Macaca fascicularis: one gene and its partners. The protein of the gene in region 3 purifies or fractionates together with the protein of the main gene of each other region. This does not show direct contact. Links are inferred from orthologs where the notes say so. Each region holds a gene or a part of one and is shown on either strand. Other genes may lie near its edges. The genes, in order: ITGA3, ITGB1 and CD151.

Region 1 (3,500 bases), on a different chromosome or scaffold from region 3:
CTTTGCCTCCCTCCATCACACAGGTTAGCAATAGTGACCCCTTTTCCCTTACTGAACCTTTGTTGTTGCAGAATCAGCAGGCAGAGGAGCCTTGAATCTCCTCCTGACCAACAGGTAGCCCCAGGCATAGTCACAGCTCTGGGCTCACTGAAGGCTGAGGCCTCTGCCCCCTCTTCTGCTCCTGCCTTCCACCCCCTGGTCATGTCACACCTTGGCAGGGTCACAGATACTCTCCAGCAGCAGCCCTGGGTGCAGGGTCCAGCTAGGCAGCCCAAGTTTGGGGTCAGGACCAGAAAGAGGTAATGGTGTGGAGTCTGACCTCAGTGTCTAGAGAGTGGGGAAAGCCATCTAGCTTCTAATATCCAGGCGCCTGAATGATTAAGTTCTAGCCATGGCTGTAACAACCAGCTCCCCATGGGATTATGAGCAGGTCAACTTCCCTCCCGAGTCTCACTTTTCTCATCTGCAAAACGGGGGTCATAATTTCACCTCGAAGAATTGTTAAAATAGGCCAGGTGCAGTGGCTCACACCTGTAATCCCAGCACTTTGGGAGGCTGAGGCAGACGGATTACTTGAGGCCAGGAGTTCGAGACCAGCCTGACCACTGTCTCTACTAAAAATACAAAAATTAGCCGGGCATGGTGGCACACGCCTGTAATCCCAGCTACTCAGAAGGCTGAGGTAGGAGAATCACTTGAATCTGGGAAGCTGAGGTTGCAGTGAGCCAAGATCACACCACTGCACTCCAGCCTGGGCAACAAGAGCGAGACTCTGTCTCAAAAAAAAAAAAAAAAAAAAAAAAGAGGAAAAAGTAATTGTTAAAGAGGATGTGATTAATAAATGGCAAAGTGCTCACCAATAAAAGGGGTTATTATTATCCTTGTTGGGTGGGGATGGGGGTGGGCTGGACATGGTAGAGGAAACCAGTGGTGACTTATACTCCCTACTCTCCCTCCCTCAATCCCTGTGAAGGAAACAGCTACATGATTCAGCGTAAGGAGTGGGACTTATCTGAGTATAGTTACAAGGACCCAGAGGACCAAGGAAACCTCTATATTGGTGAGTACAGTAGTGGTAGCCCATCGAGTGATAGAGGGGAAGGGGGCTTAGTCCGTGGTGGAAATGTGAGGCCAGAGTGCAGTTGTGACTAATGGCATTTAGTTAAACTAGCACATGCAGATTGACCAGCACCTGTATGCCAGGCCCTGTTCCAAGCTCTCAAGATGCAAAGTTCTTGCCTTTAGGATACTCACAGTCCAGTGTCCAGGCAGAACCAGGGCTGGGATGGGGCATGGCTGCTGGCCATCTGGAGTCTACTTACTTGCCCTACTTGGAATAGTGGGATAGAACATCATGGTGGGGGGCAAACCAAAGGAGGGGATAGGGAGATGGGTCCAGAGTAGAAAGAGACAAAGTTGACTGGGACCTTGGTTGAACATCTTCCCTCTATCCCAGGGTACACGGTGCAGGTAGGCAGCGCCATCTTGCACCCCAAAAACATCACCATTGTGACAGGTGCCCCACGGCACCGACATATGGGCGCGGTCTTCTTGCTGAGCCAGGAGGCAGGCGGAGACCTGCGGAGGAGGCAGGTGCTGGAGGGCTCGCAGGTGGGCGCCTATTTTGGCAGCGCCATTGCCCTGGCAGACCTGAACAACGATGGGTGAGAATCTAGGGACATCCTCTGGGGCCAGGGAGAGCGATGGGTGGGGGAAGGCTTACCTAAGCCAGGTCAGGGGAGTGGAGGATTTGCAGTTGTACAGCTGTCTGCATGTTGTTTGCAGGGGTTTGCAATCAGGCTTTATGGGAGTCTGGGCATTTGCACATGGCATTTGTGGGACCCCTGCATATGCTTGTTTCTGCTTGGGATTTGTATGCTTCAGTGGATGTGGGTTGTTTGGGTTTGATCTGTGCCTGCATGGCATCGCCATGACATATGTCTTCTATTTGGGGAGTCATATTGGCATCTCCATGTCCTTCCCATGCACATGTCCTTCCCACCCATGACCTGTGGCCAAAAGAGCCATTTACAGAGCCCTGTGCCCTGGCACAGTCACGCCTGTCAAACAAGAGCTATGCTGCATATTGGAGGCTGACCTCACACTCCCATTTCCCTCTCCTTCTCTCCTGTGCAGGTGGCAGGACCTCCTGGTGGGCGCCCCCTACTACTTTGAGAGGAAAGAGGAGGTAGGGGGTGCCGTCTATGTCTTCATGAACCAGGCGGGAACCTCCTTCCCTGCTCACCCCTCGCTTCTTCTTCATGGCCCCAGTGGCTCCGCCTTCGGCTTATCCGTGGCCAGCATTGGTGACATCAACCAGGATGGATTTCAGGGTATAAGCCAACACCCCTCCCCCAGCACCCCTGCTGACTGAGCGCCAGCTGCACACCAGGCTTGACAGGGCCCACAGATGAGACAGGATTGGGCCGGACCTGGGGAGCTCGCAGCAGTACTAGAGAGAGGATGTGCAGGTGTGCAGAGGGAGCAACAGAGGCAAGCTCAGTGGCCTCCTGGAGGAGCTTGCATGCTGCTGTGCAGCCAAGGCTGGGCTGAGAGTGCACAGTAGAGAACTGATGGGACACAACACGGGCATGGAAACTGGCCTGGTGTGCCCAAACCTGCAGGTGTGGAGTGTTCACATCAGAGAGGAGGCTGAAGAGGGAGTGGAGTAGGGTGGGGTGAGAGTGGATGATTTGAAAGCCAGGCGGAGTATCTTAGGGATTTATATTTGGGTAATGGTGATGGTGGGGTGGTGGGGCATCCAGAGAGAGTTTTAGGGCACAGATGTGATATAATAACTTTGTACCCTGAAGGATGATTCTGGAAGGGGTATGGGATGAGTGAGTGCAGGGGTGGAGCAAGGCTAGGGGAGTGAAGATCAAGAATGTAATATCTCAGGTAGGGGATGATAAGGAATGGGACAAGGTGGGAGCCCTGGATATAGGGGTCCTCATAAGTGTTCTGCAGGACTTGGGAACCAATCGGACCTGGGGTATCAGGGACAGGGGCAGACCCAGGGCTGGAGTCAGTGCCATAGGGGCACCTGGCTTTTCTGAAAGTCACTTTGCTGATAACCTCAGTTTCCCAGGACATAGCTGAGAATGAAGAGGAAGGCAAAGGAGCCTCTGAAGACCCAAACTAGGTGCCAGAAAGTTCAGTCAACAGAGGCCAAGTGTGCACTGTGGAAGTCATTTGGTTTCTGCCTGGGACCTGCTTCCGCTCTCTTTACAGGGCTTACTAACAAGCTTGGCTTGCTGATTCCCTAGGCCTTATCTGATCCAAAGCTGCAAACTGGGAAGAGTTCAGTTTAAGAAGATAACCCAACACTTGGGGTTTATTTGTGGAGATAATGATTAGAATGTTAAAAGCCTTGACACTTTCAGTGATGTTCGCTGTAGTGTTATGGTTAAAATCCCAGCCACTGCTGTGAGACGGACCTGGGCTCAAATTTCCTCTTCTCTACACTCAATGGTTGTGCAACTCTGGGTTTTTGGAGTGTC
Region 2 (4,245 bases), on a different chromosome or scaffold from region 3:
TACAGTTTTCTGTAATGAGACTGGGCTAATTCTGATGAATTCTCAACAATGGTAAAATCCATACCTTTAAAATTCAAGAATGTTGTGTTCTAATGGCAGTTTGACCATTGAGATATTAACATAGGAACATCATTTAGCCTCTTAAGCTTGAACATCCATTAAGCGGGAAAAATAGTGCTTATTTCCTAGAGGTCTGCAGACATTGGCTAACCAATAGTTTTGATTTTGCTGGTAAGTAATGTGCAAATTTTCTTAGATGTGATCGCCTCATTTTCTCTTATATTTTAGATTGGCAGCAGCCAAATGGGCGTTCCAGCCCCTCATCTCCTGCAAGATTCTTCTCAGTTTCATAAATCTGGTAATTTTTGAGCTCTTTTCCCAACAGGGTGCTGCAGCTCACCAAGTGGAACCTACAACATTTTCTGCTACCAGGATAGCAGCTTGCCAGCAGCGTATACTGAAATTACTGGGTTTCAGTATGATGTTGGTTGGTACGAACTTCAATCATCGAATCGACATGCGCCCAGCCATTCTCATAATGAATGTTTCCTTCTCTTTCAAACGTTCTGTTTCCAGCCCCCATCTCCTTTTTTTTTTTCTTTTTTAAAGAGGTTTGAAACAGAAACTCTACTCCGTAGGAAGAAACTTTTCCTTCTCATCCCTGTTCCCCATAAAGGGACCTCCAGATAAATCTATCAAAAGCAGGACCCAACTCACCAGGTTTTCTAAAACGTTCCCCAGTCCCACCACCCTTCGTGGCACCCACGGGTTTCCCAAGTCTTCACCTTTCTCTTAGACACACGCTAGCACATTATCACTCCAGAAAAGCAGTCCTGGCTTAGCCAGTTCCCTTCCAGAATGACCACGTGGTTTTTGGCCCCATGGAGTCCTGCAGGGTATGGGGGGGTTCATGGTACCGATTTGCCTCGGGACTGAGGGGGCTTCCGGGATGCAGGACCTCCCGGGCTCTCAACGGGACATCAGTGGACAAACGGGAGGGAGGGTCGGACACGCGGATCCGAGGAAGCGGAACTTAAAGAACACGGGCCCAGCAGGCTACACCAGGAACGCGCGGGGCTTTAGGGCGCAACCGACCCCTCCCGCCCTTCACAGAGGAGGAAACTGAGGCATGGCGACTGTCTCAGCGGAGTCCCGGCCCTGCCCTCCACGGCCTCCCTCAGGCGCGCTCCCGAGCGGGCCAGTTCCTTTGTCCCGGTCGCGCTTCCTGCCTCCTCCTGCGCCTCCTCCTCGCCCCGGGGCCGGGCTGACGCGGCGGGAGAGGAATGCGTTTCCGGAGGGAGAGGGCGGTGGCGGCCTCGGGAGCGGGATCAGACGCGCAGAGGAGGCGGGGCCGCGGCTGGTTTCCTGCCGGGGGGCGGCTCTGGGCCGCCGAGTCCCCTCCTCCCGCCCCTGAGGAGGAGGAGCCGCCGCCACCCGCCGCGCCCGAGACTCGGGAGGCCCCGCCAGCCCGCAGGAGAGGCCGAGCGGGAGTCGCGGAACAGCAGGCCGGAGCCCACCGCGCCGGGGCCCGGACGCCGCGCGGAGAAGGTAGGCGCCGGCGGGCCTCGGGTGTGGGGGTGCGGGCCGCGGCCTCGGGTCTGCGGTGCGCAACAGCACTTAACAGCCGCCGGCCCGGGCCGCGCCGGGACCTTTGTGCCAGGCGTGGGGGCGGGGGCGGGGGCGGCCGCGGGCCGGTGGGGGCTGGGGCGGGATTCCAGGCTAGTCCGGGAGGAAGTCCGCACACCGCCACCCCCCTCGGGTCCCAGGCGCTGGCAGCGTCCGGGCGCCGAGTCGGCCCAGCCGCGTTCCGAGCGCTAGGGTCGCGGGCCTGGGCGCTGTCACGTCGGGGCTGCTGGAGCTGCGGAGGACCGGGCCTGAGCGGCTCCTGACACCTGCGGTCTCCCGCCAGGCTGGGCGAGCGCAGGTGGGAGCCAGCGAGGCCACCCGGGGCTCGGCGTTTAGGACTCAGCGCGCCCCTGGACTGGTCCTGCGCCTTTGTCTCTCGCTCCCTCGCTGGCTGCTGTTTTTGGAGCAGCGTCGAGCCGGCCGTCGGCGCCCGCTGTTGGGACTGGTCTTCTCCGACTGGAGCCGGGATAGAAAGTGGCCTCGCGGAGCCGCTGGGGACCGGGGGCGCGGCGGCGGCAGTGCAGTTCACTTCCCGGTGTTTATAAACGCGAATGCCGGGAAGTCAAGAGTCGCCGGCCCCTGCCGGGCACCCCGGGACCAGGACACAGGGCCACGGCCACTTTGCGCTCAGACCCGGTCCGCGAGCCTGAGAGCCCGTCCTGTGTCTAGTATCATTTTTACCGCGTGTCATTTCTTAGGCTTCATAAATTGGATTTATGAGACTCCCACTCTCTAAGTAACTTTCATTTAATCAAATTCGTGCTTTTAAGTCCAAAGCTTTGCACTCATTGGTATGATCATTAGTAAATTGCATTCTCTAAGCTTCCGTTTCCTCATCTGTGAAATAGGAACAATACTACCTACACTAATAATTCATTTTTATAACAATGACAGCGAGGGCCAGGTTTAGCTCTAGGCATTTCATGTGTATTATTTAATTCTGGAACTGCTCTAATGAGATTGCTACTGTTTCTATTTCCATTTTCCGAGTGAAGAAACGGAGGCACAGGGAGCAAAAAGTAAGTTGCATATGGTCATCGGGAGCTCCTGGAGAAGGCATGGGGTCTAGCTCCAGAGCCTACGTTTAAACCAAAAGTAACCTTCCTAACTATAGTCGTGAAAATCAAATGCAAAATGTAAAACACTTAGCTTGAGAGTAGATGCTCAATGAATATTGACTGCTTTTCAGCCCTTCTTTTATAGTAAAAAGATTTCTCGGAAGGTAATTGGTAACATCATTAGTAAGGTTTCTTTGGGCCAACGTGCCACATGGATAACAGGTGGATAGAATTGCTAGGTTATTTTGTTTTGTTTTGAGACAGGGTCTCTGTCGCCCAGGCTGGAGTGCAGAGGAGCTATCACAGCTCACTGCAGCCTCAGCCTCTCGTGCTTAAGTTATTTTTCCACCTCAGCCACCTGAGTAGCTGGAACGACAGGCGCCTGCCACCATGCCCGGCTAATTTTTTAATTTTTTGTAGAGACAGGATTTCACTATGCTGCCCAGGCTGGCCTCAAACTCCTAGGCTCAAGCAGTCCTCTCTCCTAGAGCTCCCAAAGTGTTGGGATTACAGACTTGAGCCCCCTGAGCCTGGCCCTTAGGTTATTATTATTTTTCTTATTGTACTTCTGATGCTACAAAAATAACGTTCTAGAGGAATTTAGACATCTTTCTTAAACCACATATGCCCTTTACGATAGGGTATACAATAGGCCACTTTTAGAAATGATTAAGGAACTTTAGTTGGCAGTTACCTGTTCATTTGTGGACATCAAGGCCCAGAGGGGTCAGGACTTAGAGTCTCACTGTAATTCTCATATTTTTAAATAATGTTGGCTCATTGATCAATATTATATAAGTGACTGAAGATGGTGAAGTGTTAAATAAAAAACATTGGTATTTTGATTACAGGCATTTGGGGGGAAAGCCATTTTACTTACCCCAAAATTGAGTATGAAGGTGGAAGATGTTATTAGAATACTAGCTAAAAGGACAAAGAATGTGGTTAATAGTTTAATTGTGTAAAAAGGAAGCAAATAGACTGTTTAACTCATCTATGTTGACTTCAGACCTAGACCTACAATTTTATGTGATTTTCCTAACAATGTAAAGTTCTGTATTAAAGTTATTTTTGAATACCTTCAACATTCTGTACATGAAATGCATGGAATCAACAATTCTGAAAGTCACTGCATTTAGTAATTTTAACAATTAGGCAGCTTTCTTCTTAGCTTTCTGGTCAGTATAATTTAATTTAAATCAGCCCCAAATTACCATCACGAATGAAAATGTAGTTCTACATTGGTGTTCTTCCTAACTCTGGGAGTGACACTGGGGACAAATGGTCATACTATAATAATGAAAAGTGGTCAAACAACATGGTGCCAGTTTTTCTAAGAGTGCTTGCCACTGATTTTAATGTCTTTATTGTTTGACTTCTTGATAAGTAAGTTGTGGCTTACAGCAGGGAGTAGTACAGTGTTCTGTCCGAAAAAAATATTCATTAATATTCTGTAGCTGCTCTGGTTTGCCCTTAACCATGCTGCTAGTGTGATAAGCTGAAACATCTTGTAAAAGTTTCAGAGAGCTTTCAAGTTCCGAGAACTTAACTTTCTGAGTAT
Region 3 (4,257 bases):
TTGAGCTCCCTCAGACCCTCTCAATGTCTGACTCCTCCTCTCCTAGGGAACTGAACACACGGCTGCGGGATGACAGGGACGCCTGCGAGGCCAGGCGGGCAAGTGGCAGCCGCAGGAAGGCTCTGACGACTGCCCACCTGCCTGGGCCCACCTGCTGCTGCTGCTGCTGCTGGGCTCGGCCCCACAGACGAGGCTCTGGCCACCTTCCCAGTGCCCGGTGACCAGCTCCGAGTGACTCAGAGCATCAGCTAGAAGCTGCTCTTCTGGGAGGCTTGTCATGGGTAGGGGGTACCCACTCAGGATGTGGGCTCTCCCCAGGGGGCCCCAGGATCGCCTGACTGAAGAACTGAAGACATGAAGGACCTAGCCTGGGAGTGGTCAGGGTCCCGTGTGCCCTCTGCCAGCCTTCGCTCTGTCCCCAAGCAACCCCAACTCAGTTCAGCAGAAAACCCCCCTCATCAAATAAAACCTACTGACTGCACTGCATCCTCCTGGGCCTTCCGTGCATCTGGGGGCCACAGCCTGTGTGTGCCACATGCATGAGGTGGGCACTGTGCACACGTGCTGTGTGGGTGAACACAGGGAGCACGGGCCTGCGGCGATGGGGCTGAGGTCCTGCGTGTCCTCTTGTGTCCCTGGTTATGCCCCAAACTCACACTACCCATCAAGGCTGGAGCCTCCACAAGGCCCTCGCCAGTGTGTGGATCAGGGTTCCCCACTGTCTCACCAGGGAGCCCCGGCAGTTCCTAGCCTCAGTCGGCCACCCCCTCCCATTCTGGTCCTCACCTGTGGCAGTGATGAATGAGCTTGGTGGGTGGGGAGCCCCCTCCTTCCTCACTCCCACTCTCCGCCTCTTGGTGCAGCCCTAGGCCGGCCCTACCATTCCTCCTTCACCTCCTCCCACCGCTCCCAGTGGCCCCTTCCAGTCTAGAGGGCATGGGCCCCCCAGAACCCCATGGGTATCTCTCGCTGGGACCCCAGGCCTGCCCGGGTCTCCAGGCTGTCCACACTGCACGCAGAGTAGCCCCTCTCCTGCATCTACCCACAGCGCTAGGCCCTCCCCTCCCCCAGGCCGGCATCCGTTCTGCCGACCCCTGCAGCCTCTGGGCGGTTCCTGGGTGCTGAGAAAGAGATGGGGGTTAGGCATGGAGGAGGGCCCGGTCGCCACAGCCCAGGCCCTCTGGCTGGGCTGGTTGCCGTGTTATCTCCGGGCCCGCCTCCCGCCCAGCTCCTCTGTCCCTGGACCGGATGAGCCCTTGATGGGCTGTTGGCACCCCCAGGGCTGCAACTCGCCCGGCCTCCGCAGTGTCGGGTCGACCCCCAGCGCCTACACCCACCGGCTCCCGCCCGCCACGCGGGTTCAGACCTGTCGAGCTCCTGACGCCCCGGGCGGGGCTTGAGGCCGGGGCGGGGCCTGGGCGGGGCGGGGCGTCCCCCTCGGAGGCGCCGGGCCGCGCATTCTCAGCGCTGGGAGCCGCCGCCCCCGCAGCCGCCGCCGCCCGGTCCCGGACTCCGACGAGTGGTAGGTGAGTGCGACGTCACGGCAGCCCGACCGAGCGGGGCGAGGGGAACGAGGAGGCCGAAGGCCCTGCGCGCCCCAGTCCCGGAGGCCCAGCCGCAGGCGCCGGGAGGTTCCGGGAGGCCGCACCCACCGCCTGGCCCAGCTCCTTCGCAGGCCCTTCCGCGGGAGGCGGACGCCGGTCGGGTGAGGGAGGCGCAGTGGCAAGGAGAGGCGCCTCCCGGACTCTTGGACCGGCCTGACGGCACCCTTCGGCCCAGGGGTCCCGGGACGCGCAGCCTGGACACCCTGCTCATTGTCCCTGGACACGGCAGCCTTCCCTCCGCCCGCAGCCGCCCCCGCCCGCGTGCAAGTGGGCGCGCCATTGGCCGCGCCGGGCGGGGTCGGCGGCGGTGACCTCATTGCAGTGCCGCGGGGACGCTTGGCAGGCGCGGAGTCCCAGGTCCTCCTGACTGGGGCTCCCCCTGATAGGGCGCGGGTCGCCCAGGGGCCTGGTGCGGGTCCCGGGGACTCGGGGAGGGCCGGAGAGCTATTTTTGGATGGCCTTTTCCCAGGGGGTTCAGAGGGACTAGGCATTCCTGGGAAGAGGGGCCACTCCGCAGCGGGTCGCCTGTGTCCTCGCGGTGGAGGCCGCATCTGTGCCTTGAACCAGCCTCTCCAGAAAGCCTGGGACCTCACAGCCAGGCCAGGGGCACATCCGTGAGGGGCTCACACATCCCCCCAGCTCAGTGACAGACACACATCCCCCCCATCGGTGGCAGGCACACCGCCCCGCTGGTGGCAGGGTCTGCTCGTGCCACCCCTCGTGCGTGTATTTAGGCCCTGGGCTTCATGGAGGGTGAATGTCCCCTCTCAGCTCAGTGGTCAGGTCTGTCCCCGCGAGCTTCATGATGCTACTTTCCCAGGCTGTAGCTGCTGCTGTTTGGGGCAGAAGGGCCAGTGATGGGCCTGGAGCGAAGGCCAAGAGTGGGGCACCTGGGGAAGGCATGAGGTCCCTCCCAGGATCAGACACTGTCCGGGAATGTCCTCTGCCTTGGGAGGCCAAGGCGGGTGGACCACCTAAGGTCAGGAGTTCAAGACCAGCCTGGTCAACATGGTGAAACCCTGTCTCTACTAAAAATACAAACATTAGCTGGGCGTGGTGGTGGGCGCCTGTGATCCCAATGACTCAGGAGAATGAGGCAGGAGAATTGCTAGAACTCAGGAGGTGGAGGTTGCAGTGAGCCAAGATCGAGATCATACCATTGCACTCCAGCCTGGGTGACAGAGCGAAACTCCATCTCAAAAAAAGGAAAAAGGCCGGGCACGGTGGCTCAAGCCTGTAATCCCAGCACTTTGGGAGGCCAAGACGGGCAGATCATGAGGTCGGGAGATCGAGACCATCCTGGCCAACACGGTGAAACCCCGTCTCTACTAAAAAAATACAAAAAACTAGCCGGGCGGGTGGCGGGCGCCTGTAGTCCCAGCTACTTGGGAGGCTGAGGCAGGAGAATGGCGCGAACCCGGGAAGCGGAGCTTGCAGTGAGCTGAGATCCCACCACTGCACTCCAGCCTGGGCGACACAGTGAGACTCCGTCTCAAAAAAAAAAAAAAAAAAGGAAAAAAAGAAAAGAAATGTCCTCTGCCTTGCCCCACCCTAGCCCAGACTAAAATACCAGGCTTGGCCACTCCTCTCTCTGCCTCCAGAATGAACCCAGCCCACTCTGGCCCTTGGGCCAGACGTGTAACCTGTGACCTGACGTGTCCTTGCCCCTCTAGCCTAGAGTCCTGGGGAGCTTCTGTCCACCTGTCCTGCAGAAGAGTCGTTCCTAGCCCGGTTGGTGTGTGCTGGGCAGGGTGGGGCAGAGCAAGCGGGGCGGTGAAAGTCCAGGCCTGGCTGTGCTGTCTGGAAACGTGGCCCGGGGCGCTCACCTGCTGTCTGCACCCCACGCGGTCCCTGCCTTCCCTGTGCTCACAGCTTGCCCGCTGCTGCATGTTGGGCAGGGCACGGGGCCTCTGGGGAGGGGCACAGCCTGTCTGTGCTGCCCCCTCGTGTTGGTGTGGGTCCCCTGTCCAGGAAAAACCCTCCCAGTCTGCCAGACTCCACCTGCCTCCACGCTCCATTCTCCCCACTCGGGCCAGGAGGAAGGAAGGGCTGCCCTTTAACAGACCGTAAACAGGCCTGGAGAGCCTTAGGAAGGGGCTGAGCTGGGGCCTGTCTGAGCCTCTGCCCCTTTGCTGTCTCTGTCTCTGAGTGGCCTCCTCCGCCCTCACTGAAGGCCCGTAGTCTCCTGTCAGCCTGTGACGTGGGGCCCCGGGAATGCCGTGGGGGGCGGGCAGGCTGGCATGAGCTCACCGGAGGTACCCGCTAGGGCTTCCTCCCCGGGCCGCCAGCAGGGATGAGTCAGCAGTGATGATGGGCGGTCCTCCATGACCCCTGGCCTATCTGTGGGCACCAGGGGTCTCTCGTGGCTGCACCTGGTCAGGGCTCCTGAGTCGCTAGGAGGTGACACGTCATGTTCCCACAGGGGCTCCTTCGCAGGTCTCCCAGGACAGTGGCTGGCTCCACCCGACTCCTGGGCTGGCTTGGGCATCTGTGTTCCCTCCTCCTATCTGTCCCTGTCAGGGGTCTGGTGCTGTGGCCCCGCTGACCCCTCCCCTGCCTCCCCAGCCCCAGGATGGGTGAGTTTAACGAGAAGAAGACAACATGTGGCACCGTTTGCCTCAAGTACCTGCTGTTTACCTACAACTGCTGCTTC

What was found.
Region 1: the proteins of CD151 (region 3) and ITGA3 purify together in Homo sapiens (co-immunoprecipitation; 4 studies listed by BioGRID and IntAct, with this or other methods). This does not show direct contact. The link is inferred for Macaca fascicularis from reciprocal best matches to the Homo sapiens genes CD151 and ITGA3.
Region 2: the proteins of CD151 (region 3) and ITGB1 purify together in Homo sapiens (affinity purification with western blotting; 4 studies listed by BioGRID and IntAct, with this or other methods). This does not show direct contact. The link is inferred for Macaca fascicularis from reciprocal best matches to the Homo sapiens genes CD151 and ITGB1.

Annotation. Positions count from the first base shown.
Region 1 is NC_088390.1:56,644,002-56,647,501, reverse strand, and holds part of ITGA3 (integrin alpha-3), read left to right. Parts: intron 1-973; coding exon 974-1,060; intron 1,061-1,456; coding exon 1,457-1,664; intron 1,665-2,136; coding exon 2,137-2,333; intron 2,334-3,500.
Region 2 is NC_088383.1:33,709,449-33,713,693, reverse strand, and holds the start of ITGB1 (integrin beta-1), read left to right. Parts: upstream 1-1,445; 5' UTR 1,446-1,548; intron 1,549-1,721; exon of another isoform or gene 1,722-2,645; intron 2,646-4,245.
Region 3 is NC_088388.1:734,650-738,906, forward strand, and holds the start of CD151 (CD151 antigen), read left to right. Parts: upstream 1-1,457; 5' UTR 1,458-1,705; intron 1,706-2,424; exon of another isoform or gene 2,425-2,583; intron 2,584-3,277; 5' UTR 3,278-3,339; intron 3,340-4,026; 5' UTR 4,027-4,176; coding exon 4,177-4,257. Other genes in the region: CRACR2B (EF-hand calcium-binding domain-containing protein 4A), read left to right, coding at 47-221. UniProt on the Homo sapiens protein: Structural component of specialized membrane microdomains known as tetraspanin-enriched microdomains (TERMs), which act as platforms for receptor clustering and signaling.